3 linked regions of the Macaca mulatta genome follow. The protein of the gene in region 1 interacts with the protein of each later gene in a pairwise test. Links are inferred from orthologs where the notes say so. Each region holds a gene or a part of one and is shown in the gene's direction. Other genes may lie near its edges.

Region 1 (10,040 bases):
AAGCAGTGTTAAGAATAATAGGCCGGGCGCGGTGGCTCAAGCCTGTAATCCCAGCACTTTGGGAGGCCGAGACGGGCGGATCACGAGGTCAGGAGATCGAGACCATCCTGGCTAATATGGTGAAACCCCGTCTCTACTAAAAATACAAAAAACTAGCCGGGCGAGGTGGCGGGCGCCTGTAGTCCCAGCTACTCGGGAGGCTGAGGCAGGAGAATGGCGTAAACCCGGGAGGCGGAGCTTGCAGTGAGCTGAGATCCGGCCACTGCACTCCAGCCTGGGCGACAAAGCGAGACTCCGTCTCAAAAAAAAAAAAAAAAAAAAAAAGAATAATGTGCTGTGAATGTCCAGGATGGGCGTACAGGATGAAGTGTTTCCCGAACTCCTTTGTCTTTTTGCACACTGTCTCACAAGATCAGTGTTTGAACAACCTTTGGGGAAACTGTTTTGGCCTTATTCCAGCTGGCCCCAGTTATGCAAGTCTGGAATGAAAGCTGGGGGTGGTAGGTTCTGATGTCCCCAAGCCCTAACAACCTTGTCCCTGCTTCATCCCAGGCTGGCCCTGCATAACTCCCGTTTCCTGAGTCTCGTCTCTGAGCTAGATGGTCGAGTCCGGCCCCTCGTGTACACCCTCCGCTGCTGGGCTCAGGGTCGGGGGCTTTCAGGTGAGAATGAATCAGGACAGACTTGGGGCTGAGTCAGGACAAAGGCAGGGATTCAGGGAGAGAAGGGAGGTCAGAATGGGCACTGAGGTTGAGAAAACTGCCAGTGGGGGGATTCGAAGCACCTCTGATCTAACTGGAATTACTGCTTATTTACCCAGGGAGTGGCCCTCTTCTCAGTAACTACGCCCTGACCTTGCTGGTGATATATTTTCTTCAGACCAGGGACCCTCCTGTGTTGCCCACTGTATCCCAGCTCACCCAGAAAGCAGGTACTCAGCCTAGCTTCCACCCTCTCCATCTTGTTAGCTTCCTCTCTTCTTCATCACACTTAGATACACCAAAGCAACTCTGGGAATGAGATCTCTGCTATCACCCCCATTTCTACCCCAACCCTCAATCTCCCTGCTTCCAGACTGACTCTCAACTTTTTTACTTTCACAGGAGAGGGGGAGCAGGTGGAAGTCGATGGCTGGGACTGCAGTTTCCCCAGGGATGCCTCAAGACTGGAGCGCAGCACAAATGTGGAGCCCCTCAGTGAGTTTGGGGAGCCAGGTAGAGGACTAGTAATGATGTTCATCAACAGTAGGTAACATATATCACACTGTGTGCCAGGCATGGTTCTCACAGAAAACCTGTGAGATACCTAATATTATTACTGCCGTTTTACAGATGAAGAAACCATGTTTGGGAGCAATTAAGTGACTTGCCCAAGGTTACACTGGCTAGCAGGGAGCAGCAGCATCTGGGCAGGGAAATCATGTGGGGGCAGGGAGAGAGGTCTGACCTCTTGTTTATAGGCATCAGAGAAGCCTATCTTCCTGGGACTCTGCTGAGCCCCTTGGAAGGGGAAAAGAAAGTCCTGCTAAGGAAATGGCTGTGGTGCAGGACCTGTGTCAGTTCTGGCCTCTAAATGACTCCCTTTCCCCACTCTTCCTCCTCCTCCAGGTTCCCTGCTAGCCCAGTTCTTCTCCTGTGTATCTTGCTGGGATCTTCGTGGCTCACTGCTGTCCCTGCGGGAGGGTCAGGCACTGCCTGTGACAGGGGGCCTGCCCTCTAATCTCTGGGAGGGTCTGCGCCTTGGCCCCATGAATCTCCAGGACCCTTTTGACCTGAGTCACAATGTCGCAGCCAATGTGACCAGCCGGGTGGCTGGGCGCCTACAGAACTGCTGCCGAGCGGCAGCCAATTACTGCCGAAGCCTCCAGTACCAGCGCCGTTCCTCCCGGGGTCGGGACTGGGGGCTGCTCCCTCTTCTGCAGCCCAGCTCCCCCAGCTCCCTACTCTCTGCTACTCCGATCCCTTTACCCCTTGCACCCTTCACCCAGCTCACTGCTGCCCTGGTGCAGGTATTCAGGGAAGCACTGGGGTGCCATATAGAACAGGGAACCAAGAGACCGCGGTCAGAAGGAGGTGGAACTGGGGAGTCTGCTCAGGGAGGGACAAGCAAAAGACTGAAACTAGATGGACAGAAAAAGAGCCATGAGGAGGGGAGAGAGGAGCAGCAGGGATGTGCAGGGGACGGGGTAGAAGAGATGGTTATAGAGGTTGGAGAGATGGTGCAGGACTGGGCCATGCAGGGCCCTGGGCAGCCAGGGGAGCTGCCCCTGATGACTGGAAAGCATGGAGCCCCTGGAGAAGAGGGGCAGCCCAGCTATGCAGCCCTGGCAGAGCGGGGGCCCAAGGGACATGAGGCAGCCCAAGAAGGGTCCCAGGGTGAGGCAGGGCAGGGGGCATCTCTGCCCTCCTCAGTGAGCTGGCGCTGTGCCTTGTGGCACCGAGTGTGGCAGGGACGGCGGCGAGCCCGTAGACGCTTGCAGCAGCAAACCAAGGCAGGAGCCGGAGGTGGTGCTGGCACAGGAGCAGGGTGGCTGGCAACTGAGGCTCAGGTCACCCAGGAGCTGAGAGGACTGAGTGGTGGCGAAGAGAGGCCAGAAACTGAGCCCCTGCTGAGCTTTGTGGCGTCTGTCTCCCTGGCTGACCGAATGCTCACTGTGACCCCGCTCCAGGATCGCCAAGGCCTGTTCCCTGATCTCCATCATTTCTTACAGGTTTTCCTCCCTCAAGCACTTAAACATCTGAAGTGAAGACATGGCCCCTAAAGGGCAATAAAGCTGCTAGTTTATTAATACAGAGTCTCCCGTTTCCTTTCATTTCCATCTGGTCATAATGCTTCGCCTCCCCCAGAACTTCATGAAGCTGCTCTCCTCTGACCCCGAACATGGGTCTCTCCCTACTGCTCTCCACCCCAGCAGCCTCTCCTTCCTACAGTTCGCACAGCTTGCGGGGAGTGCGGGGGCAGCACCGTGCGTGGCACCTGGCACCCGCGCAGAGTTCCTGAATGGCAGAGCGGTGGGTGGCTGGAACAGTACTGAGAAGAGCCAGGTTTGCCTCCACATTCTTCCTGCCGCCTCAGATTAATGGGGACAAAGATGGAGATTTGCGTTCAGGGTTCTTCATTCTCTCCTTTAAACGAGGAGAGTTCATCCCGTTCTTAAACTGGGTAAGAGATTTCAAACCTGAACATGAGTCAAAAGCCATGAATATCAGAAGCGACGATGTCGGGTCTTCCAGCGTCAGCCCCTCCAGGGGCCGAGTCCGGAGGAGGCGGGAGGGACAGGGCGCGTTCTCCCTCGTGTCCCTGCCCTGCTTCGGGCCGGAGGGCCGGTGTCCTTGCTCGCAGTAACAGCACCCTGGAGCTGTAAGGGGTTAGATGTGAGCAAACGTCACTTTGGCAGGCGGGTTCAGACCGGGGCCCCTGTTAGACACTCATCCCTTTCTGGAGGAAAAGCAGAGCAGGAACTAAAGGATATAGCACACACACTGCCACCTCCGCGCAGCAGTCGTTCCTCGCTCCCATGAGTTTCACAGAATCATGTGAGGGGCTTGGCAGAACCTACCATCGAGTCACTCGTCCCTGGGTGGGCCAGAGGGGGACGCCCCCAGCAGCCTGACGGCGCCAGGCCAGCAGCGGCGCCACGTAGCCGAGAACCGGCGGCTTTTCCAGCGGGTTCTCACAGCTTCCCCGCCCTCCACGCTGTCTACCTCCACGTCTAGACTCCAATTGGTCCGCTGCACCTGAGGGGCGGGCCAGTCAAGATCTCCAATGCGCAGGCGCGAGCTTTTTCCGCGCTGGCCAGCAGGCCCCACCCACTCCGTTCTTTTTCCAATTCGGCGCCACTGGATACCGAACTGTCGTACGTATGTCTTCTGTGTCGTCCTCGCTTTCCGGCTGCTGTTTCTCCACGGCTCTCCCCTTTCCCCCTCCTTTCTCTCCTGGGCGGCTTACTTTGCGGCAGCGGGGAGAACCCCACCCCCTTTCTTTGCGGAATCACCATGGCGGCTGGGGTAAGTTTGCCGGCGCTGGTGGTTCGGGTCATCCTATCCACCGCCATCCTTTGCCCGAGTGGGGCCAGTCGGCGCCAGAGGAGTTCTGAGGCTGAATGGGGAACTGATTCTGGGTCTACAGACCGTACTGCTGGAGAGCAGGGTTCCTACGGCCTGGAGGGGAACTGAGGCTGGGGCTCTCGGAGGCCAGAGGTGGAAGGGTCTGGGGAAGAGGAGAAAAGGGATGCCGAATCTGGGCCGTCCGAAGCCTGAAAAAGGGGTTCGGCTCTATTGCCGCCTTGAGGCGTAGTATCTGGGTAGGTTGACGAACTTCTGTGACCGTTTTGTGGAGTAACAGCGGGGACAGGGTGAAGAGCGGGTCTTTGTAGGCAGGTCCGGCTGGCACGGTTAAAGGTAGTCTGTCAGGGAGGTTTGGGAGCGAGAGGATTCTCCGGACAGTGAAGTCAGACCAATTGGAGTCCGCTGGCCAGCTTAATAGAGAAGGCAACGCTGGGGAACTTGCTGCGGGACAGGACCGGAGGGATGGTATGCGCGACACGGAAAGAAAGGCTTTTGAGGGAGAGGAGTTGATTTAAGAAGACGGCATGCCATCCCCTATCTCTGGCCACTCTGAGAGGAACTAGAAATCTCTCGATCGTTGTGCGTTCCTTAGAGCAGCTGAGCAGTAGAGTAGGCAGGCGCTCGGAACCATCAATGAATGAAACGAGGGCTCCGTGAAGGGAAGGGAGTATGTTTGTAGGCAGATGGAGTCTGATGGAGCTAGAAGTTCTGGATTTCTTGGGAGATAGATTTGAGGGAAAGAGAATGCTTCTAGAGGTGTCCTTAGGGAAGGTCAAATCTGTCAACAAGCTTTATTTAGCAGTTGGTGTGTAGTTCTGTTCTTGGTATTTCGGAGGATTCTGATTACATATGACAAGTGTTAAAGGACTTGGTTCACCAGAGGAAGTAAAAGGGTGAGTTGAACACATTGGGATTATTCAGGCAAGTCATCCTGGGGAGTGGCATTTAGGACTGGGACCCTAATGCTCTTATTAATTTTGTTCCTCTCTTTCTTTCATAGACCCTGTATACGTATCCTGAAAACTGGAGGGCCTTCAAGGCTCTCATCGCTGCACAATACAGCGGGGCTCAGGTCCGCGTGCTCTCCGCACCACCCCACTTCCATTTTGGCCAAACCAACCGCACCCCTGAATTTCTCCGCAAATTTCCTGCCGGCAAGGTGAGTTGGGAGATGGGGAGTGTCCTTCGGTTCTGAGAAACGAAGGCCTGGGATTCTATCATTCTGGAGATGGCCCCCATCTCTAAAAGAGAGCTTCCCATGTTATTTTCTTCAATATTTCAGTGATTTTATTTTGAGATAAATGCAGATTCACATGTAGTTGTAAAAAAAAAAAAAGTACAGAGCTATTCTGTGACTTTATACATTCACGAGTTTACTTTGTGGGAAAGAGAATGAGTTTTGACTAAGCATTTTCAGTGCAAATGTATCAGATTGTCTGTTATGGGCAGGATTCTTACCCCAAGGGGTTTACAGAGATAGGTGAAAAAACATGCTAAGAATGGAGGAGATGAAGTACTATGTGGATCTGGGTCACACACTAATACTTGCACTGATACATTGATACAGGAGTTACTTTTGGTCTTCTGCTTGTTTGATCCAGAGATTTCATACAAATATCTTGTAATATTCAAATCTATTGTGCTTCCTAGTTAACATTGTGAATTCAGATTGCAAAGGATGCCCAGCTCTTGAAGTATTTATTTATGGTTCTTGAGTATCAGATAGTATGGAGAGTTTGGATAGTGAGGATCGTCAGTCTTACATAAGTATTTTTATCCAAAGCAGTTTGGCTTCTGGTATTGGGTAGGGAGAAATTTTGTGTGTTTTACCTTATCTTTTCACTGCTTTGTCCCCAGGTTCCAGCATTTGAGGGTGACGATGGATTCTGTGTGTTTGAGAGCAACGCCATTGCCTACTATGGTAATTTGCAGGGGTATATGGGAATGGGAGAATTTGGAGGTGAGGGTGTACAAGAGGGTGTGAGCGGGGATGGATATGAAGGAATTCTTCAGGACCTGGACTGGTGTTGGCATTCCCCCAGAGTTCTGACCTTTGTGTTCTGCCTCTGCAGTGAGCAATGAGGAGCTGCGGGGAAGTACTCCAGAGGCAGCAGCCCAGGTGGTGCAGTGGGTGAGCTTTGCTGATTCCGACATAGTGCCCCCAGCCAGTACCTGGGTATTCCCCACCTTGGGCATCATGCACCACAACAAACAGGTGAGCCTTGGAACTTTGGGAGAAGCCAGGGGCAGGGGTGGCCTTAGCTCCTGGGTGTTGGGAGTAAGAAATAAAATAGGTTGAAAAAAAGGTGCCAAGGATATATAGGCAATGAGAAGACGTACTTTCTGGGGTACAAGTTTGAAGTAGTGGGCAGTTGATGGAGGAAGTGTCTGTCATGAGTGGTCACAAGAGGGATTGCTGCTGTGAAGAGATTATACCAAATGGTAAAGGGGGTGGCTGGACCAGAGGACCTCTAAAGTTCCTTTATGATATATTTAGAATGATCCTAGGGTCTGTCTCCATTGAAAGAGGGTGAGGGTGAGCTCAGACTTCTAGGTGAAATAGCCTTCTTAGTTCTATTAATTGGGGAGGTGAGGGAAAGGGATTGGTACCCACTGATGAGTTTTATCATGTTGAATCACTAGGCCACTGAGAATGCAAAGGAGGAAGTGAGGCGAATTCTGGGGCTGCTGGATGCTCACTTGAAGACGAGGACTTTTCTGGTGGGCGAACGAGTGACATTGGCTGACATCACAGTTGTCTGCACCCTGTTGTGGCTCTATAAGCAGGTGAAGTTTATGGAGAATCTATTTGGCAGAGGGTAGATGGGGATTAGAAGCAAAGTGACAAGGTATCTATGTTACCCTGTATTCTGCTGAGGGCTTGGAAAACAGCTAGAGCTGGGTGCAGTGGCTCACACCTGTAATCCGAACACAATGGGAGGCCGAGGTAGGCAGATCACCTGAGGTCAGGAGTTTGAGACCAGCCTGGCTAACATGGTGAAACCCTGTCCTTACTAAAAATACAAAAATTAGCTGGGTGTGGTGGCGCACACCTATAGTTCCAGCTACCTGGGAGGCTGAGGCACAAGAATCACTTGAACCTGGGAGGTGGAGGTTGCAGTGAGCAGAGATTGCCCCACTGCACTCCAGTCTGGGCAACAGAGTGAGACTTTGTCTCAAAACAAATAAACAAACAAAAAACAGCCAGGAATCCCAGGACTGAATACCATCACTTGCTTTCCCTTGTCTTAAGAAGTTGGGTAATGTCTTGCCTTTAGTTCCTGTTTGGCAGCTAAGATGTTTAGTTTGTTGCCATATTTCTTGGGAAGATTGGTTATTCTTAGTTGTGAAGACAGAGGTGATGATGGTGGCGAAGCATTAAGATCTTTTTGGAGGCAGGCCAGGCACTGTGTCTAACACCTATAATCCCAGCACTTTGGGAGGCCTAGGCAGGTGGATCACTTGAGGTCAGGAGTTTGAGGCCATCCTGGCCAGCATGGCGAAACCCTGTCTTAAAAATACGAAAATTAGCCAGGCGTGGTGGTGGGCACCTGTAATCCCAGCTACTTGGCAGGCTGAGGCAGGAGAATCACTGGAACCCATGAGGTGGAGGTAGCAGTGAGCCAAGATTGAGCCACTGCACTCCAGCCTGGCGGACAAGAGCGAGACTCCATCTCAAAAAAAAAAAAAAAAAGGCTCTTTTGGAGACAAGTACAGGTTGAAGCCTTGGCTTCATTGTTTACCAGTGTAGGTAAAGAGTTATTTGTGGGTGAATTGCTTTAGTCCCCGTTTTTTACTTTTTGCAATCTATAAAATCAGGGTAGTAATAATCACTGTCAAGGTTATTGGGTCAAAAAAGAATGACATGTCACTGGTTTCCAAATAAAAGCTCTTGGACTCATGCTGGTCCAGAATAGTAATGTGATCATAGCAAAGAGAAAAACACTTACTGCATGCCAGACCCTGTGCCAGGGGCCTCATGGGGATCATCTTAGTGAGTCTAATAAGTGGTAGAGTAGAATTTGAACCCAAGTACTGTGGAACCAGCACTCTGATTGCTATGTTCTGTTTCCATGACAAGATTTTTTTCCTCTTCTGATCTTTGCAAACTAAAAAATAACAACAGTTCTACGCGAAGCTGTTTATTCTTATTTGTCTTTGACCGTGGCCAATACACCAGACACTAACTTTAATTTGAAGGACTATCCATTATTCTTTTTTTTTTTTTTGACAGAGTCTTGCTCTGTCACCCAGGCTGGAGTGCAGTGACACGATCTTGGCTCACTGGAACCTCCACCTCCCAGGTTCAAGCAATTCTCCTGCCTCAGCCTCCCAAGTAGCTGGGATTACAGGCATGCACCACCAAACCCAGCTAATTTTGTGGTTTTGCCATGTTGGTCAGGCTGGTCTCGATCTCTGGATGTGAGGTGATCCACCCGCCTTGGCCTCCCAAATTGCTGGGATTACAGGCATGAGCCACCGCGCCCAGCCAGGGCTGTCCATTCTAAATCGGTTTGAATGTTCTTTACTTTTTGAAGTTTGATGGGTGTGTGTGTGTGTGTGTGTATAGTATGGCCAATGTAGATAGTAAATATCTATAGTGTTTAGATTTTATTTGGCAAAATAAGTAGTTGATACCTCTCTGTGGGTCTCAACCTTTTTTTTTTTTTTTTGTGACGAGGTCTCGCTCTTGTCCCCCAGGCTGGAGTGTGATGGTGCGATCTCGGCTCATTGCAACCTCCGCCTCCCGAGTTCAAGCGATTCTCCTGCCTCAGCCTCCCGAGTAGCTGGGATTACAGGCATGTGCCACCATGCCCGGCTAATTTTTGTACTTCTAGTAGAGGCGGGGTTTCACCGTGTTGGCCAGGCTGGTCTCGAACTCCTGACCTCAGGTGATCCGCCCGCCTTGGCCTCCCAAAGTGCTGGGATTACAGGTGTGAGCCACCGCGCCTGGCCGACATGTGAAATTTAAAAGATTGGAAACAGTAGCTCTGAAATAGTTTTCTAAAGGAGCAAGACAATTATTATTCCTACTCCTAAATAGAGGATGGACCCAAGCGTCCATCCATTAAACTGTACTGCACTGAACAAAAAGATTAGAAAAAGAAATGGAGGCGGGGTGTGGTGGCTCATACCTGTAATCCCAGCACTTCAGGAGGCCAGGGTGGGAGGACTGCTTGAGCATACGAGTTCAAGATCAGTCTGGGCAACATAGTGAGACCCCATCTCTATTCCATCTCTTATTACTTTTTTTTTTTTTTTTTGAGACAAAGTCTCACTCTGTCACCTAGGTTGGAGTGCAGTGGCGTGATCTTGGTTCACTGCAACCTTCTCCTCCTGGGTTCAAGTGAGTCTCCTGCCTCAGCCTCTGGAGTAACTGGGACTACAGGCGTGTGCCACCACGCCCGGCTAATTTTTTGTTTTGTTTTGTTTTTTGAGACGGAGTCTTAACTTTGTCACCCTGGCTGGAGTACAGTGGCACGATCTCTGCTCACTGCAAGCTCCGCCTCCCAGGTTCACACCATTCTCCTGCCTCAGCCTCCCGAGTAGCTGGGACTACAGGTGCCCGTCACCACCCCCAGCTAACTTTTTTTATTTTTAGTAGAGACGGGGTTTCACCGTGTTAGCCGGGATGGTCTTGATCTCCTGACCTCATGATCCACTTGCCTTAGCCTCCTAAAGTTCTGGGATTACAGGCATGAACCACTGCGTCCAGCCTCTTAAAGCGCTTGTAAAAATTAATTTACTTGGGTCGGGCACGGTGGCTCACACCTGTAATCCCAGCACTTTGGGAGGCCAAGGCAGGCAGATCACTTGAGGTCAGAGTTTGAGAACAGCCTGGCCAACGGGGAAACCCCATCTCTACTAAAAATACAAAAATTAATTGGGCATCGTGGTGGGCACCTGTAGTCCCAGCTACTCAGGAGGCTGAGGCACAGGAATCACTTGCGAGAATCACTTGAACCCAGGAGG
Region 2 (9,736 bases), on another chromosome or scaffold:
AAAAATACAAAAAATTAGCCGGGCGCGGTGGCGGGCGCCTGTAGTCCCAGCTACTCAGGAGGCTGAGGCAGGAGAATGGCGGGAACCTGGGAGGCGGAGCTTGCAGTGAGCCGAGATCTGGCCACTGCACTCCAGCCTGGGCAACAGCGTGAGACTCCGTCTCAAAAAAAAAAAAAAAAAAAGAACTGGCTGGGCATGGTGGCATATCCCTGTAGTCCCAGCACTTTGGGAGGCGGAGTTGGGCGGATCACTTGAGGCCAGGAGTTCAAGACCTGTCTGGCCTTCATGATGAAACCCTGTCTCTACTAAAAATACAAAAATTAGCCAGGCAGAGGCCATGTGCGGTGGCTCACGCTTGTAATCCCAGCACTTTGGGAGGCTGAGGCGGGCGGATCACCCGAGGTTGGGAGTTTGAGACCAGCCTGACCAACACGGAGAAACCCTGTCTCTAGTAAAAATACAAAAATTAGCCAGGCGTGGTGGTGCGTGCCTGTAATCCCAGCTACTTGGGAGGCTGAGGCAGGAGAATCGCTTGAACCTGGGAGGCAGAGGTTGCAGTGAGCCGAGATCGTGCCATTGCACTCCAGCCTGGGCAACAAGAGTGAAACTCTGTCTCAAAAAAAAAAAAAAAAAAAAAAAAAAATTAATAGGGCTTGGTGGTGCATGCCTGTAATCCCAGCTACTCGGGAGGCTGAGGCACAAGAATCAGTTGAACCTGGGAGGCAGAGGTTGCAGTGAGCCGAGATCGTGCCACTGCACTCCAGCCTGGGCAACAGAGCAAGACCCTATCTCAAAAAACAATAAATAAATAAAAATAAAAATAAAAGAACTAATAAGATAGTAAGGTGAGGCACAGTGGCTCACGCCTGTAATCCTGGCACATTGGGAGGCTGAGGCAGGTGGATCACCTAAAATCAGAAGTTCAAGATCAGCCTGGCCAACATGGTGATACCCCATCTCTACTAAAAATACAAAAATTAGCCGGCGTGGTGACAGATGCCTGTAATCCCAGCTACTCGGGAGGCTGAGGCAGAATTGCTTGAACCCAGGGGTGGAGGTTGCAGTTAGCCGAGATCGTGCCATTGCACTCCAGCCTGGGCAACAAGAGTGAAACTCTGTCTCAAAAAATTAGCCGGGCTTGGTGGTGCACACCTGTAATCCCAACTACTCGGGAGGCTGAGGCACAAGAATCATTTGAACCTGGGAGGCAGAGGTTGCAGTGAGCCGAGATTGCACCACTGCACTCCAGCCTGGGCAACAGAGCAAGACCCTGTCTCAAAAAACAATAAATAAATAATAAATAAATAAATAATTAATAATTAATAAAAGAACTAATAAGATAGTGAGGCCAGGCGCAGTGGCTCACGCCTGTAATCCTAGCACGTTGGGAGGCCGAAGCAGTTAGATCATCTGAAGTCAGGAGTTCAAAACCAGCCTGGCCAACGTGGCAAAACCCCGTCTCTACTAAAAATACAAAAATTAGTCAGGCGTAGTGGCGGATGTCTGTAATCCCAGCTACTTGGGAGACTGAGGCAGAATTGCTTGAACTCAGGGGGTGGAGGTTGCAGTGAGCTGAGATCGTACCATTTCACTCTATTTTGAGCAAAACTTCATCTCAAAAAATAATAATAATTTAAAAAAATAAGATAGTCAGAAATTATTGGTGTGAGAGCACAAAAGTACAGGAAAGTAGAGAAGTAAGCCCAGTAGTAGGGCTGATTTTACCTTGGGGTCATTTGCTAATTTGGAATTAGTGGCAGAAAATACGCTGTGTGGGGCTGGTGAAGTCCAGGCCAGGTTTGGTGGCTCACACCTGTAATCCTAGCACTTTAGGAGGCCAAAGTAGGAGGATGGCTTGAGCTTAGGAATTTCAGACCAGCCTGGGCAACAGGGTGAGACCCCATCTCAATTTTTTAAAATTAAAAAAAAAAAGGGCCAGGCACGGTGGCTCATGCCTGTAACCCCAGCACTTTGGGAGGCCGAGGTGTATGGATCATGAGGTCAGGAGTTCAAGTCCAGCCTGTACAAGATGGTGAGACCCCATCTCTACTAAAAATACAAACATTAGCCAGGAGTGGTGGCACGCGCCTGTAAGCCCAGCTTCTTGGGAGGCTGAAGCAGGAGAATCACTTGAACCCAGGAGGCAGAGGTTGCAGTAAGCCGAGATTACACCACTGCACTCCAGCCTGGGCAATAGAGGGAAACACACTCTCAAAAAAAAAAAAAAGGAATCCAAATGTCCCCAAAGGTGATAATCTTGGTAAACCACCTTCATGTTTTGGGCTAGGATCTCAAAAGGCTGCACTCCTAGGGGCAACCTGGGAGTAGAATAAATAGAAAATCTAAGGTCCTGCTTGGTGGCTCACATCTGTAATCCCAGCACTTTGGGAGGCTGAGGTGAGGATCAGTTGAGCCCAGGAGTTGGAGACCAGCTTACGCAACATAGTGAGACCTTATCTCTACCAAAAATTAAAAAAATTAGTTGGGTGTGGAGACATATGCCTGTAGTCCAAGCTACTCTGGAGGTTGACACAGGAGGATCACTTGAGCCCAAGAGGTTGAGGCTTCAGTGAGCCGTGTTTATGCCACTGAACTCCAGCCTGGGCAACAGGAGTGAGACCCTGTCTCAAAAATAATAATAATCCAGACCCAAAACATTAAAAGACCAAAATTAAGAACCAATTGATAGATTTAATACTATGTTAGACTTAACTGAGGAGCAAGTAATGAATTGGAAGAAAGGACAGCAGAAACTACCTAAAATGAAGAATGGGTAAAAAGGAATGAAAAACATAAAAAGAGAGGGTAAAAGCCCTTTGCAGTGGCTCATGCCTGTAATCCCAGCACTTTGGGAATCCGAGGCGGGCGGATCACCTGAGGTTGGGAGTTCGAAATCAGCCTGACCAACATGGAGAAACCCTGTCTCTACTAAAAATACAAAATTATCCAGGCATGGATAATGGTGGTGCATGCCTGTAATCCCAGCTACTCGGGAGGCTGAGGCAGGAGAATCACTTGAACCCAGGAGGCAGAGGTTGTGAGCTGAGATCACACATTGCACTCGAGCCTGGGCAACAAGAGCGAAACTCCGTCTCAACAAACAAACAAAAACAAACAAAAAAGACTAGCTTTGACAGCATATAAAGTACCCCATCTCTAAATAAATAAATACATACATACATACATACATAAATAAGCCCGGGGGCAAGGGAGGTGGCTTATGCCTGTAATCCCAGCACTTTGGAGACAGAGGCAGGAGGATCACCTGAGGTCAGGAGTTCAAGACCAGTCTGGCCAGCATGGTGAAACCCCATGTCTACTAAAACTATAAAAATTAGCCGGGCATGGTGGCATGTACCTATAGTCCCAGCTACTCAGGAGGTTGAGGCAGGAGAATCGCTTGAACCGGGGAGGCGGAGGTTGCAGTGAGCTGAGATGGCGCCACTGCACTCCAGCCTGGGAGACAGAGGGAGACTCCATCTCCAAAAAAAAAAAAAAAAAAAAAATTAGCTCAGAGTGTTGTGGCCTGTGCCTCTGAGTAGTCCCAACTACTGGGGAGGCCGAAATGGGAGAGTCTGTTGAGCCCAGGGGGTCGAGGCTGCAGTGAGCTATGATGGTGTACCACTGCTCTCCAGCCTGGGCAACAGAGTGAGACCCTGTGTACAAATAAAATAATAGAAGAGAGGGTAAGAGACAAAGAGATTACTGGGGGAAAAGTCTAATACGTCTTTGGAGTTCAGGAAGGAGGGAAATAATAGGTAAAACTAATACTGGAAGATATAATAGCTAATAAATTATATAAATGGATGACAAACCTCAAGCCATTGATTCAAGAAGCTCAACAAACCTCAAGCAAGATTTTTTTTTTTTTTTTTTTTTTTTTTTTTTTTTTTTAAGACGGAGTCTCCCTCTATCACCCAGGCTGGAGTGCAGTGGCGCCATCTCAACTCACTGCAACCTCCGCCTCCTGGATTCAAGATTCTCCTGCCTCAGCCTCCTGAGTAACTGGAATTACAAGTGCCCGCCAGCACAAGCCACCGCACCCGGCCCTTTTTTTTTTTTTTTTTTTTTAAATTAATAACATTTATTTAAATCTGGATGGTGGTTATGTGGACAGAATACGTTTAGACTTAAGATGTTTACGTTCTGCTGTAGTAAATTAAATATCAAAAAAGTACGTATGGAAGGGAGGTAGATGAGGGATAAAAGTCTACAAGTTGGATTCAGTGTATACTGCTCGGGTGATGAGTGCACCAAAATCTCACAAATCACCACTAAAGAATTTATGTAACCAAGCCGGGCGCGGTGGCTCAGGCCGGTAATCCCAGCACTTTGGGAGGCTGAGGCGGGTGGAACACCTGTTTTCCACATTAATTCAATCAATATACTCCTCCTATCTGAAACCTGTTTCTCCTGCTTCGAGTTTGTAGACGTGTAGTGTTCATGGTTGCCTAAACTCCCTTTTCCCCATCAACTTCAACTGCTAGTGGCAAAAATGGCTGATACTGCTTGCGTTTTTGGGGTAGGAAAATCGGCAAGGTATTTTCATTCACTGAATGTAATGTAAATTACGTGTACGGTACAGGGCAATGAAAAAATTCCGATAGCAGAGGATGGTTTCGATCCATCGACCTCTGGGTTATGGGCCCAGCACGCTTCCGCTGCGCCACTCTGCTATCTGAAGGCCAACGTTCTCATAACTGTTATAGAAGACCACGTAGTCGTTGTCCTGACTTCTTCAGTGCCACCTAATGTCTGATCAAAAATTCGTCATTACTATAGAACCAGTTCTTATTGGCTAGTTCCTGACACAGTAGGCGTTTTTTATTGGTTCATAAGCCCGGTTTGACAAAGTAAGCCAATAGGCATAAGCGATGGGGTAAGGCGGGAGCCAATCACGCCGGGTTTTATTGGGACACGCCGGCAAGACTCCTCTTCAGTTGTCTGCTCCTCAGAGGAAAGGGGCGGTTGGTGCGGCCTCCATTGTTCGTGTTTTAAGGCGCCATGAGGTAAGGGGGTCGAAGTGGTCGAAAGGTTTCAGGTATTCGACGGAAAACTTTGGGAACGTGGGTCGAAAGAAGTCGGAGTACCTAAAAGGACCATGTATCCGGGAGCTGGCCAAAAACCTGAGAACTCCTGGTCTAAGAGAGTGGGAGAGAGTGAGGCCGGTAGAGGCGGGGAAACGGGCCCGGGATGGGGTTGGGGCCCAGGAGTGGGGAGGCGGGTTCGACACCTCTCTCTGAAGGGTTGCGATGAGGAGGTGTCCTCAAGTCCCCGGAGGAGCTCCCCACCTTCCCTCCGCCCCCGTCATCCGGGCTGAGAATGCTGGAGCGAGCCGCATTCATCCTCAGTGCGAAGGGCTTGACATATAGGACATGCCCGATAAATGTGTACGTTAATGAAGAAATGAGCAATCTTTAGCTTCCGAAGTATTAGGATTCGTGTGGCCCAGGATTATGGGTTATTTCGTGTAGGGCTCACTGTCTGAGCCCCATCATTACTTGATGGGGGGTTGTGATTAACTTATCCAGAATGAGGAGGTTATGGGGGTGTAACTGGGCACCATTTGGAATGGGGAGGAGTGTGTGAGTGGGGTCTCTTGCCTACCGTTGGGAGGTTCCGAGGGATGAAAGTAGCCAACTTAAAATGATATGGCCGGTGGGTATTCCTTCAATGAGATCAAAATAAAATCTGCATTTCTAGGGGTGACAGAGGCCGTGGTCGTGGTGGGCGCTTTGGTTCCAGAGGAGGCCCAGGAGGAGGGTGAGTGCCAGCTTTTAGCATCTCTGCACTTAGTTGTTAGTTTCTGCTTGTCATCTAAATAGGAGTTTTGGAATAGACTAATGTCACTTGGTTTTGTGAGAGCCAACTGTGGTCTTTTCCGCACTCCTGCTAAATGAATTTGGCCCCACTATGCTAAGAATGATTCTCTCCCTCCCCAGAGACTTTGTCACTCATTCTGAGGTCTGACATGTTTTCAAAATTGTTGGTGTGTTATTTAAATCTCACTTGATTCCTACATAGGGAATAATTTGGCTGTTTTTCATGTTTTAGGTTCAGGCCCTTTGTACCACATATCCCATTTGACTTCTATTTGGTGAGTACCTTGGGTTAATAATACACAATTTCTGGCCATTCTTGAAATGGAGCCTAGTATCTCCCAGTTAATGAAGTTAGATAGTGGTTGAAGAGGGCAGGCACAGTGCCTCACACCTGTAATCTCAGCACTTTGGGAGGCCGAGGCGGATGGATCACCTGATGTCAGGAGTTTGAGACCATCCTGGCCAATATGGTGAAACCCCATCTCTAGTAAAAATAAAAAAGTTGCTTGGGCGTGTGCCTGTAATCCCAGCTACTTGGGAGGCTGAAGCAGGAGAATCGCTTGAACCCGGGAGGCGGAGGTTGCGTGAACTGAGATGGCACCACTACCAAAAAAAAAAAAAAAATGGTGATTGAAGTGAGGGGGAAAGTGATTTTTGAAAAGACTTGGGGTTTTGAGTCAACTGTGTGTTGCTTTACCTACAGAAACAGTGTAAGCATGGTGGGGAGAATAATTCCTTGACTACTGTTGGCATTAAACATGATTATAATCTTTGTTCTGAACAAGTAATCGTATCTACGGCTAATTTGTTACTATAAAGATAGTGATAGCTTAAATTATGGCTATTCCAGCTTGTATCCTTGTTTGAACATTTTTTCTTTTTTTTTTTGAGACAGAGTCTCACTCCGTCACCCAGGCTGGAGTGCAGTGGTGCAATCTTGGCTCACTGCACTGAACCCGGGAGGCAGAGGAATCAGGACCTCTGCCTCCCAGGTTCAAACAGTTCTCCTGCCTCAGCCTCCCAAGTAGTTGGTATTATAGGCGCCATGCCCAGCTATTTTTTGGGTATCTAGTAGAGACGGGGTTTCACCATGTTGCCCAGGCTGATCTTGAACTCCTGACCTCAAGCGATCTGCCCACCTCGGCCTCCCAAGGTGCCGGGATTACAGGCGTGACCCACCATGCCTGGCCTTTGAACAAAATTTTTTTTTTTTTTTGAGGCAGGGTCTTACTGTGTTGCCCAGGCTGGAGTGCAGTGGCACGATCTTGGCTCACTGCAGCCTCGCTTCCTGTGTTCAAGGGATTCTCCCACCTCAGCTGGGATTACAGGCGTGAGCCACCATGCCCAGCTAATTGAACAAATTAAGGAGTAAAAACAAGTGTAGAATTTTCTATTTTTAACCTTTTTCTGTCGTAGTAATAGAAAAAACAATCTCTCCTGTATATTATTTTCGGCAAATGGAATGTAGTTGTTTACTTCTGGTTTAGTGTGAAATGGCCTTCCCCCGGGTCAAGCCAGCACCTGATGAAACCTCCTTCAGTGAGGCCTTGCTGAAGAGGAATCAGGACCTGGCTCCTAATTCTGCTGAACAGGTATGTTCTTTTGGCTGTCTTCCAGAAATGTCTCTAAAGCAGGTAAAAGTATTGGTAAAGAGTAACTGTTGGTAAGGTTAAGAATGGTGTTAACAGAGCCTGAAATCCACAGAGGGTTTAATTGTTCTCCTTATTTCTCATTGTGGGTGGAGACAGCCAGGTGGATATATAAACAAATTACATATGCATTCTTATTTTTATTGGGGATAAAGAGTTGTTCTCTTTCCATATATTCAAGGCCAGAATGAAGTGTTTTTAAAGTCCTAGGTCAGTATTGAGTCAGCTCGTATGGAAGGGATTAGGAGAAAATACTCAAACTCTGAGAATTTGCTTCTAATTTTTCATCTTCGAGTATTGTTTCATGCTGTTTTTCAGGCATCTATCCTTTCTCTGGTGACAAAAATAAACAATGTGATTGATAATCTGATTGTGGCTCCAGGGACATTTGAAGTGGTGAGTTTTTGATGATTTAGTTTTAGGAAAGGGCACCTTTGGTAGTGTCGAAATTTCCTTGGCTCCTGACTTTTAATTTTCAGTTGTCTATTATCCAAAGCCAAGCTTAAAATGAGAACATACAGTGGGATTTCTTTGTAGTACTGATCTTGGGGACAAGACTTGTATCACTGTTATGCTATCTGTGATGTATCAGGCTTTCATGTGGTGGTTCTGGGGTGATTTCACCTCTTACTTCCTAATTTGGGTAACAGGTGGCTATGTTGTAACAGTTCTGGGAGGACTTAGGCACCTTTTTTTCTTCTAAATTGTTTTTCCCCCGAAATCCTTTTTCCAATAGCAAATTGAAGAAGTTCGACAGGTGGGATCCTATAAAAAGGGGACAATGACTACAGGACACAATGTGGCTGACCTGGTGGTGATACTTAAGATCCTGCCAACATGTGAGTGTGCCTGTTTCTGGTCATGGGAACAGAACATAGCACTTGGATTAGGGGCTTAGGGATCTTTTTTTGTTTTGAGACAGATTCTCACTCTGTTGGCCAGGCTGGAGTGCAGTGGTGCCATTGTGGCTCACTGCAGCCTTGACCTCCACTACAGCAAGTGATCTTCCTGCCTTAGCCTCCCGAGTAGCTGGGACTACAGATGTGTGCCACCACACCCAGCTAATTTTTTAATTTTTTGTAGGTACAGGGTTTCACCATATTGCCCGGACTGGTCTCAAACTCCTGAGCTCAAGCAATCTGCCCACCTCAGCCTCCCAAAGTGCTGGGATTGCAGGCGTGAGCCACCGTGCCCAGCCCTTAGGGATCTTGAAAGCTCAAATTTCTTGTGCGAAAGGATGTTTATTTATTTATTTATTTTTTGAGACGGAGTCTCGCTCTGTCGCCCAGGCTGGAGTGCAGTGGCCAGATCTCAGCTCACTACAAGCTCCGCCTCCCGGGTTCACGCCATTCTCCTGCCTCAGCCTCCTGAGTAGCTGGGACTACAGGCATCCGCCACCTCGCCCGGCTAGTTTTCGTATTTTTTTAGTAGAGATGGGGTTTCACCGTGTTAGCCAGGATGGTCTCGATCTCCTGACCTCGTGATCCGCCCGTCTCAGCCTCCCAAAGTGCTGGGATTACAGGCTTGAGCCACCGCGCCTGGCCTCACGAAAGGATGTTTGTAAGACAAATGTTTTTAGTTTTTGTTTTTGTTTTTGAGACGGATCTCTCTCTGTTGCCCTGGCTGGAGTGCAATGGCGTGATCTTGGTTCACCGCAACCTCCCCTCCTGGGTTCTAGCTGTTCTGCCTTGGCCTTCCGAGTAGCTGGGATTACAAGCATGTGCCACCACTCCCGGCTAATTTTTCTATTTGTAGTAGAGACGGGGTTTCACCATGTTGGCCAGTCTGGTCTCAAACTTCTGACCTCAGGTAATCCGCCTGCCTTGGCCTCCCAAAGTGCTGGGATTACAGGCGTGAGCTACTGCACCCTGCCTGACAAATGTTTTTTAATGAGTGATAAGGGACAAACGCTGAAGTGTGTGTGTCTGAAAGAATGTATAGCAGGTTACTGTAGAGCCATGTTTCTCAACTGGAGGTAATTTTGCCACCCAGGGGATATCTGGCAGTATCTGGAGGTACTATTGATTGTTAAAACAAGGGGGTGCTACTGGCATCAAAAAACGGTGGAAGCCAGGTGTGGTGGCTGTATTCCCAGCACTTTGGGAGGCTGAGGCAAGAGGATCACTTGACCCCAGGAGTTTGACCAGCCTGTGTAACATAGAGAGACCCTGTAGCTGCAAAAAGAAAAAAATTAGCTGGGCATGGCCGTGCATGCTTTGGTCCCAGCTACTCAGAAGCCTGAGGTGGGGCCGGGTGCAGTGGCTC
Region 3 (9,306 bases), on another chromosome or scaffold:
CCTCTGGCATGCCTCCTGCCTGGAGGAAATATTGTATCGATTCGCCTATACCTTTGACTTTAAATAGGTGGAGTACCTGATTGTAACTGAAAACTGCCCTCTCTAAAAAATAAATACCTCCTGTCTGATTCTGATTTTCCTTAAAGAATTAGGTTTGAGGTGATCATGGCTGAAATTTCTTAGTGGGCCCTTGTGCCTTGAGTAATTCTGTGGGAAGAGCTAATAGAATTGAGTCAAATGTTCCGTATAATCAATGCCCAATAGCTGTGATCTAAACAAGTGGTCTCATTTGTTTTAATTTGAGTAGCAAATTTTTATGCAGGTGATTCCCTGAATGTGGTGGAAGTGTTCGACCCCATCGCCAATCACTGGGAGAGGTGCCGTCCCATGACAACAGCCCGCAGCCGTGTTGGCGTGGCTGTGGTGAACGGGCTTCTCTATGCCATTGGAGGATATGACGGCCAGCTACGGCTGAGCACTGTGGAGGCGTACAACCCGGAGACAGACACATGGACCAGAGTGGGGAGCATGAATAGCAAGAGAAGGTATTCTGGAAGCCACGTGCAGCCCGAACATACACACTGAGCACCTGGGGAGCGCCATGCTAGAAAAGCAGGGGCACACAGTAAAGTAAAATACAAGCTTTGGCCTAGGAGTTTCCTGCAGCCAGGCCAGCCACTGCCGGTACCTCCTGGGAGCAAGCCCCCATCTGCTTAAAAGTAAAATACCCGCCTTGTCCTTTGAGGAACTTGGGGAGACCAGACGTGGACATGTGGAAGTTGTGTTGTTATTTTAAGTGCCAGATAAGGACTGGAAATGTGTATTATGGAAGATTGAAGGAGGGAGAGAAACTGGACTGGAACTTCTGGAAGATTTCAGGGAAGAGGTGGGATTAAAGTTGAAACTTGAAGAATAAGGAGGATTTACCTTTATTAGTGATAAAAGGAAATCCAAGGTGTTTTTCTGTATACCTTCCTTCCCCAGGACTCCCCTCACACATGAGTTTCCACTACCTGGGGAGAATATGAACCAAAGCAGTGTTCTTTTATTTAGGTCACACACATTCTCCTAGACAGGAAAACATAGGTATTTGCAAGGTGGGCCAAGTTGGTATGTCACTCAGTACATTCTAGCTACCTGCTCCCTCCACTTCTCTGCTTATATTGCCCGAATAAGAAGTGGGATTAGAAGACATCCTGGTGCCTGTGTTTAGCCTTCTTAAGGCTGAGGTGACAACAGGTGGCATGTTTCATTATGTCAGACACATGATGGAGTCGTCACACGTGTGGGCAGCCGAAAGGCTGGCGCAGCCCAAGGAGGGGAGAGGAAAGCTGCCCAGGGCCCCCTTGCCCATTACCCAGGACAGCTCTGCATTGATCGCTTTTACACATTGAGCTTCCTTGACATATGCCTAATGTTGTTCCACATCCAGCAGCGTTCACATGTGGATGTGAGCTGGGAGGGATCTGCCTTTGTACTGGTGAGACCAGTTCACAAAACATTGGGGTAGGTTCCTTTGGGAAGAAAAAAATACGTAAGATCTGCCCCTCCCAAGAATGCGTTGGGAGTCCTTTCCTCCCACCATCCCCACTTTTGCTGCTTGGATACTTTGCAGCTTCCTGTGTTTGAGTGACTCATTGCTCCATGTCCCCAACCATGAGTAGCTTTTTTGCTTTGACTGCAGTCAACTGTCCTTCCTTGTGTGTATGCTCTGGACCACTTCCTTGCTTTGATGTTACTTGGTTTAGAGTGCTGTCTTGGAGGAAAGTCCTCTGGGTATTCCTTTCCTTCACTGTGGTTAATACCCTGTTATTAGTGTGGGCCCGGTTCCATTACATCCCTTTTAAATTATAGGCTCCCTTAAAGCGTTCCTAGTCACTTCTCTCCTGACATCCCACACAGCTGTCTGTCCTGCCAGTTAGTGACATCGTGCCATCTTTCCTTCCCATCTCCCCCAGTGTTCTATGCCATCCCATAGAGCTTTCTTACACTGGACTATTCCAGTCCATGCTAATCAGCATTTTCTCCTCTTCACACTCACCTTTACTACCTAGTTGATAGTTAATCTCATGCAGTTTTGTGGCACCTCTTAATTCATTTTCATATTGTTCAACACCTGTTTTGTTATGTAATTTTTATGTTTGTGTCCGTGTCCAGAAGGATAGTAATCATGTCTAGTAAATGTGTGATCTTCCCTCAGTACTTACCTAAGGCAAGTCCCTCTCCTCTTTTGGGCTGGTCCAGGGGGTCTGTTATCATGTCCCTGAAAGGGACATTCTGTGGATCAGTTTGATTACTATGTACATTTAAAAGGTAGCAGCAAGCCAGGCACCGTGGCTCACGCCTATAATCCCAGCACTTTGCGAGGCCACAGAGGGCGGATCACCTAAGGTGAGGAGTTTGAGAACAGCCTGGCCAACGTGGTGAAACGCTGTCTTTACTAAAAATATAAAAATTAGCCAGGCATGGTGGGCGCCTATAATCCCAGCTACTTGGGATGCTAAGGCAGGGAGAACTGCTTAAACCAGGGAGGCAAGGGTTACAGTGAGCTAAGATCGTGCCACTGCATTCCAGCCTGGTTGACAGAATGAGACTCTGTCTCAAAAAAAAAAAAAAAAGGTAGCATTAAGCCTGGTATGTTTTATTTTCCTGTTTGTTAGAAACCTAGATTCATTTTTAATCTTCACCAGCATCACATTTGAAAATACAGCTTGGCATTCATGCTGAATTCCTTATAAGGCTTTGTGTAGAGTGGAAGATTACATGATTACACCAGACCCCTGGGTCTTTGGTATTAGAAAAACTTGGCATGTGAGGAGTTGGGTAGTTGGGCTTGTCTCATTTAAATCTGAGGCAGGCCTCTCTCTGGGCAGTCTTGAGGAGAGACCTCAGCCTCCCCAAGCTATAGCTGCCTGTCTGTACAGTGATTATGGTGCTCTTTCCTTCCTTGCAGGGTGTGCTAAGGGCTGAAAATAGCAAGTGGGCCATGCACAGTGGCTCACACCTATAATCTCAGCACTTTGGGAGGCTAAGGCAGGAGGATGATTGCTGGAGCCCAGGAGTTCATGACCAGCCTGGGCAGCATAGTGAGACCCCCGTCTATACAAAAAGAAAATTAGCTGGGCATGGTGCCATGTGCCTGTAGTCCCAGCTACTGGGGAGTCTGAGGTGGGAGAATCCCTTGAACCCAGGAGATCAAGATTGCTGTGAACCATCATTGTGCCGCTGCACTCCAGCCTGATGATAGAGCAAGACGTCGTCTCAAAAAAAAAAAAAAAGAAAAAAGAAAATAGCAAATGTAGAGTACCTGACACATGTAGTAAATGCACAGCAAACAGGAGCTGTGGCATCAACCACTAAGATAAATTAGAGGCCATGCACATGATGAAAACAACATATGTGAATTGAGTGGGAAAAAGCAGAGGTAACACAACAAACATACATTCAGTGCCTGTTACATACAGGACATCATACTTATCACTGTGAAGGTCACACAGATGAAGATGAAGTGAGGACCTTCCTGTCTTCCAGGAGGTCCTCACTTATTAAGAGGTGGCAGATAGATTGGCTGGGTGTGGTGGCTCACTCTTGTAATCCCAGCACTTTGGGAGGCCAAGACAAGAGGATAACTTGAGGACAGAAGTTTTGAGACCAGCCTGGGCAACATAGCAAGACCCTGTCTCAAAAAAAAAAAAATTAGCTGGGTGTGGTGGTGCACACCTGTAATCCCAGCTACTTGGGAGGTTGAAGTGCAGGAAGATCGACTGGGCACAGGAGTTCAAGGCACAGTGAGCTCTGATGGTACCACTGCACTCTAGCCTGAGTGACAGATCAAGGCTTTGATTAAAAATTACACACAAACAGAAGTGGCAGATAGATTCCTGGTAGCCTATAATGTCAGAACATAAGTGCCTTGTGGGCTGGAACTTTGGCTTGCTTACCACTCTCAACCCCAGCTGATAAAGATCTGATGGATGAATGAATGATTGTAACAACGGCTGTAATAAGCCACTCAGGGAGTGTAGGGGCAGGAAAGAGTAATTCTTACAAAGGGGAGGAAGAGGAAAGAGGAAGTTGCGTTGGGCCTTCAAGGTAAATTCAACCTTCACATGGTGAGGTGGAAGGTGAGCATTTTAGAAAGATTAAGGACAGAGAAGAGCGGGGAGGGGAGGCAGCCTGCGGTAGAAGGGTGGGGCACAAGAGGAATGATGGGGCAGCTTCTGTCACCTCAGTTTTTTGCCTTTACTTAGTCACATACCTGAGATTTAGGTTGCAGAAAGAGGCAGTAGGTAGGTTTGTTTCTCAGTGGGCAAGAGAGGCTGCTCCAGGAAGGCTACGGCTCATCTGGGATGACAGCTCTGTCTGTTTCAGTGCCATGGGGACAGTCGTGCTGGACGGGCAGATCTACGTCTGTGGGGGCTACGATGGCAACTCTTCCCTCAGCTCCGTGGAGACCTACTCACCTGAGACGGACAAGTAAGGAATCCAACTCCCTTGGGGCAACTGGAGCTGATAAACAGTATAAAAATCAGAACTGCAGTTTTTTAAATTTAAGCTTCTTGAGGGTAGAGAATGTCTTACCCTTTTTCCCCTATAGTACTTTGTATATACCAGATATTTAATAACCCTTGGTTAAGTGAAAGAATGAGTAAATAAAATTTTAAAACAAATAGTCTACATAGATGCTTGGAAATAGTTATTTAATGGTCTGTACCTTTTAGCTAAATCAGCCCATTTTAATGGAAATACAGGCAAGAGGGGATAAGAAGTAGATGAACAGCATGTTCCAAAGTGGGTAGGATATGATTTGGAAAAAAAATAAAAAGTTTTTAAGTTCTGTGGTCAGATAGGCATGGAAAATGTTGATGTCTGAACTGCCAGAGTCCTTGTCTTTCCATAAGATATATTAACATTTTAAAGGCTCTAAGAAACCCTGTAGTGAATAACTCTGTTTAACCTCGGGTTTTTAATACACACCAGTCACCGTCTTGTGGGACTCATTTGTGGAACACTCTTTGAAAAACATTGACAAGGTTAGCCCGAGTTTTTCATTTTAGTGTTTGAATCCTCTCATCTTATATAATAAAATATAAACAAATTAGTTGAATGGACTTATTAGGATGCCTTTAAGTCAGTATTCTGTTCACTTAACCGGTCTACTATGGATCAGACAGCAAGCTGGGTGTCTGAGATCCTTTAAAGCACCCAGTGTGGTTGGGCCGTAGGTTGCATCATGATCGTCCTACCCTGGAGGCCTGTGTCAGAAGCTCTTGGACACAGAGCAGAGAGAACCTGCATCTTCCCCAGGGTTGCAGGAAGGGACAGGGTAGCAGGGATGTCTTCCAAGGTGAGACCTGTCATGGATAGCCAGGGGGAGGTGTTTGCTCATCATAGGCGGGGAGACAACAAGGAGCGAGGCTGCGATAAAGTGTTCACTGTAATCGAGAACAGCAATGATCCTCTCATGGGCTGGAGCCCAGTGTGTGGATGGGAGACGGAGCAGAGTGGGTAGCATATGGTGTGGGGTGAAGCTGAAGGGTAGATGAGGACCAAGAGGTAAAGAACCACATGAAGAGCCGGGCACAGTGGCTCACGCCTGTAATCCCAACACTTTGGGAGGCCGAGGCAGGAAGGTAACTTGAGCCCAGGAGTTCGAGACCAGCCTAGGCAACATAGGAAGACCCTGTCTCTACGAAAAAAAAAAAAGAGAGAGAGAGAGAGAAATTAGCCAGGCATGGTGGCGTGAGCCTGTAGTCCCAGCTACTGAGAAGGCTGAGGCAGGAAGATTGCTTGATTCTGGGAGGTCAAAACTGCAGTGAGCTATGATTGCACCACTGCACTCCAGCCTTGGTGACAGTGAGACCCTGTCTCAAAAATAAAAAAAGTTTAAAACCACATGACGGAACCTGGACTGTCTTAGAGGAGACAGTGAGGAGCCACTGGACGGACATGGTCCAGGTACAGGAGAAGCAATCCCTCTGGCTGGGTGGGGTTGGATGGGACTGGTGTGAAATCCAGGCTGCCTGTAAAGAGGCTGTGGCAGTGGTCCAGATGAGAGGTCAGGGTAGGGCACTGGCAGTGGGGATGGGAACAAGCACTGACTCGGAAGCAAACCAGCCAGGACTTGGGGGACCACAGGAATGTCGACGGTGAGGGAGAAGCAGCCAGAACAGCACTGAGATTTATAAGTACAGCAGCTAGAGAGCTGGTCGTCTGCTTAACGAGGCAGGGAGTGCAGGGAGGAGCAGAACTGTAAGAGAAAGAGGCCTTGTATGAGACACAATGATTTTGAGCAGCCGTGGAGATGAGCAGAGAAGATGGGCTGTCGGTTTGCAGCTTGGGTGAGAGGCGGCAGCCAGGGAGAGCTGTCAGAGAGGTGGTGGGAGAGGTGATAAGAGGTAGAGAGATGGCCAGCACAATTCACCTGAACCCTGCTAGGCTATCTTGGGGGGACAAGAACCCTGAATCTCATGCTTTCCCTCCTATTTTGACTCTTTCCTGAAGGTGGACAGTGGTGACCCCAATGAGCTCGAATCGCAGTGCTGCTGGGGTTACGGTCTTTGAGGGCAGGATATATGTGTCAGGCGGCCACGATGGTTTGCAGATCTTCAGCAGTGTGAGTCTGGGCTCCCCCTGGGATAAGGGCACCTACTTCTTCTGTCTTTGAGATTTATTTTGGAAGATCATTAATTGAAAAAACTTCAGCCTTGCCATAGCTGAATAAAGTATCATCTAGTGAGGTTTCAGGCTATCCACTGCGTCTTCTGAAATTCTGAACTTACAGAGAATGAGCCAGTGTACGCAAAAGAAGGGTGTAGGGTAGTCACATCTGCAGCCACCACCCTGTTCTACTGTCTGTCGGACACTGCATAGACACTGCAAATCTACAAGTGTAAATTTGCAAACAGTTGTATTCTTTTGGATAATTTGTTTGAAATTGTATTTATTCTGTAAAAAAGGCTCAACAGCCATTTACTAGTCATTCCATAGTCAGTCAGTGCCGCAGTGGAAAGCCCTGGAGATTACAGGAGACCCAGCTCTCATACAGGTTCTGTCACTACCTAGCATTGCATCCTTGGGCACATCCTTTTTTTTGTTTCCTTAGATGCAGACAGAAAGGGTCAGGTGAGGTGACCTCTCCCTGCCCCATACGCCAAAGAGCAGGCCTGCAGCAGAGGGAATACTGGCAGAGCTCCTCATCCCCATGCCTCCCACAGGAGTTTGACATCATGGGGGCTGCTGTGCCCTGCAATGGTCACTCTATGGACTGAGCTTTGTCTCTGACTGTCCTGTACCTGTGCCTCTCTCCCCACTGTAGGTGGAGCACTACAACCACCACACTGCCACCTGGCACCCTGCAGCTGGCATGCTCAACAAGCGCTGCCGGCACGGAGCCGCCTCCCTGGGGAGCAAGATGTTTGTCTGCGGGGGCTACGATGGCTCTGGCTTCCTCAGCATTGCTGAGATGTACAGCTCTGTGGCAGACCAGTGGTGCCTGATTGTCCCCATGCACACGCGCCGGAGCCGGGTCTCCCTGGTGGCCAGCTGTGGGCGCCTCTACGCTGTAGGGGGCTACGACGGACAGTCAAACCTAAGCTCAGTGGAGATGTATGACCCAGAGACGGACCGCTGGACATTCATGGCCCCCATGGCATGCCATGAGGGAGGAGTCGGTGTGGGCTGCATCCCTCTCCTCACCATCTAAGGCAGAGGATGGGGATGTGGTGGGGCAGGGATCTGGTACAGACATAGGCGCATCCTTCCAGGAACAGTCCCTCAGGAGAGGCAGTGGACCAGAAGAGGTGGCGAAATGCGAGCTCGCCGGAGGTACAGTTTTTCCAGGTGCTTAAGCCCTCCCCTACTGTGCCACCCTTGTGACCTTCAGGCCTGGGTCATCAAGATGCACAGCATGGAAAACAAGCTCCTCTGGATCCCGCAGCTGGTGACGTGGAACTGTTTTCTGGTCCACACGAACACAGGCTCCATCCAGGCCCAGCTCCTACCCACCGCCTCTCTGTGGGCCCGCTGTTCACAGAAGACCTTCCATCTGATGCTCCCCTTCGCCTGCTTGTTCTCCAGCCGAGTTCTGGCCACTTTGCCATGGGGAGACTGCAATGTCCAAGCCTGCTGGAAACTGGGATGTAGTTGGGGGTGAAAGGACAGACCCAAGTGTCCTCCGTGCCTGAGATGGTGTGGCCACAGCAGTGGAGGGCTGCACACAGGCACGTTCCTTCTTCCACAGTGGGGCACCAAGGATTCTGTCCTCATTGCTGGGTAAGCAGGGAGAAGAGAAGTTTTCCCCATGTCTAATTTTGGGATTTCAGTGAGGCCTTTTCCATCTGTCCAGGAGAACAGAAGGGAAAAAAAGATACTTGAAAGATACTGAAGGAAATTTAAACAAAGAAACACTTGAAAGAAACTGGAAAGAAAAATAATTTTTTTTTATGTGAACAAACTTTTGCAGGAAGAAAAAAGCGTAAAAGACACTAAGGGCAAATCTGTGTTTAAATGGAAAACCGTCTAACTGGAGAAGGGCGGTATCCACCCCACATTCGGATCCCAGGGTCCTGAGGCCTCGCATCAAGCTGGGGGTTCCCTCTGAGCCCCAGTGTGTGTGGAATCAGTACACTCTTGACTGGGCCTGTAGTAAGGTGCTCATGGGGTTTGTCTTCACACCCACTGTCAGAGGACTTTTAAAATCATAGGTGTAGAGAGCTATCTGCTGAATTACTGCCACTCTTCTTGGTGGGGGCTCCTAGCTGGGGCTGGGGGCTCCAGACGCCCCTGTGATTACCTCCTATTGCCACCATGGCGCTCATTCAGATTCCCCACTCTCACTGACATTCCTTCCTTTTTTGACCAGCAGGAAACAGCAGGTCCGGCCAGATTCTCACTTGCCTGTCGATCTTGTTCTTGGATGATTGCCCTCATTGTGATGCGTCTGGGGCACGTTGACCATATGCACCTCTAGAATCTAACCAGGGGCTTCCTTTTACCAGCTGTGGGCTGGCTTGGTCTGGTAACCTTGTCTGCCCTGCCATTCCACTGCTCCTCCATCCACTTGCCAATCCCAAGGGTCTGGCCTCCCTCCAGCCCTGGGCAGACTGACCAGCAAGGTGGACCTTTACATTCAAGCACAGCTGGCTTTTATGACATAACTAAAGGCCGAAAGAATCTCTTGCTGCTGCAAAGAACAGATTTTATATTTCTTCCTCTAATCTTGGCAAATGACCTTTACATTTTGGAAAGATTTCATACTGCTTCCTTCTCCCTGGATGGGACCTAATGTAGCACAGTGGGACTCAA

The links.
Region 2: the proteins of EEF1G (region 1) and ILF2 interact in a two-hybrid assay, tested with the Homo sapiens proteins (2 studies listed by BioGRID and IntAct). The two-hybrid records come from large-scale screens. The link is inferred for Macaca mulatta from reciprocal best matches to the Homo sapiens genes EEF1G and ILF2.
Region 3: the proteins of EEF1G (region 1) and KLHL18 interact in binary tests that used the Homo sapiens proteins (3 or more experiments, as listed by UniProt). The two-hybrid records come from large-scale screens. The link is inferred for Macaca mulatta from reciprocal best matches to the Homo sapiens genes EEF1G and KLHL18.

What each region holds. Positions count from the first base shown.
Region 1 is NC_133419.1:11,489,977-11,500,016, forward strand, and holds the start of EEF1G (elongation factor 1-gamma), read left to right. Parts: upstream 1-3,986; 5' UTR 3,987-3,995; coding exon 3,996-4,007; intron 4,008-5,067; coding exon 5,068-5,226; intron 5,227-5,924; coding exon 5,925-5,988; intron 5,989-6,139; coding exon 6,140-6,282; intron 6,283-6,710; coding exon 6,711-6,854; intron 6,855-10,040. Other genes in the region: TUT1 (speckle targeted PIP5K1A-regulated poly(A) polymerase), read left to right, coding at 553-662, 821-931, 1,104-1,196, 1,608-2,746. UniProt on the Homo sapiens protein: Probably plays a role in anchoring the complex to other cellular components.
Region 2 is NC_133406.1:113,364,788-113,374,523, forward strand, and holds the start of ILF2 (interleukin enhancer-binding factor 2), read left to right. Parts: upstream 1-4,916; 5' UTR 4,917-5,004; coding exon 5,005-5,009; intron 5,010-5,703; coding exon 5,704-5,763; exon of another isoform or gene 5,764-5,795; intron 5,796-6,054; coding exon 6,055-6,097; intron 6,098-7,290; exon of another isoform or gene 7,291-7,309; coding exon 7,310-7,414; intron 7,415-7,789; coding exon 7,790-7,867; intron 7,868-8,207; coding exon 8,208-8,310; intron 8,311-9,736. UniProt on the Homo sapiens protein: Chromatin-interacting protein that forms a stable heterodimer with interleukin enhancer-binding factor 3/ILF3 and plays a role in several biological processes including transcription, innate immunity or cell growth.
Region 3 is NC_133407.1:110,682,692-110,691,997, forward strand, and holds part of KLHL18 (kelch-like protein 18), read left to right. Parts: intron 1-307; coding exon 308-545; intron 546-4,356; coding exon 4,357-4,476; intron 4,477-6,504; coding exon 6,505-6,616; intron 6,617-7,318; coding exon 7,319-7,705; 3' UTR 7,706-9,306. UniProt on the Homo sapiens protein: Substrate-specific adapter of a BCR (BTB-CUL3-RBX1) E3 ubiquitin-protein ligase complex required for mitotic progression and cytokinesis.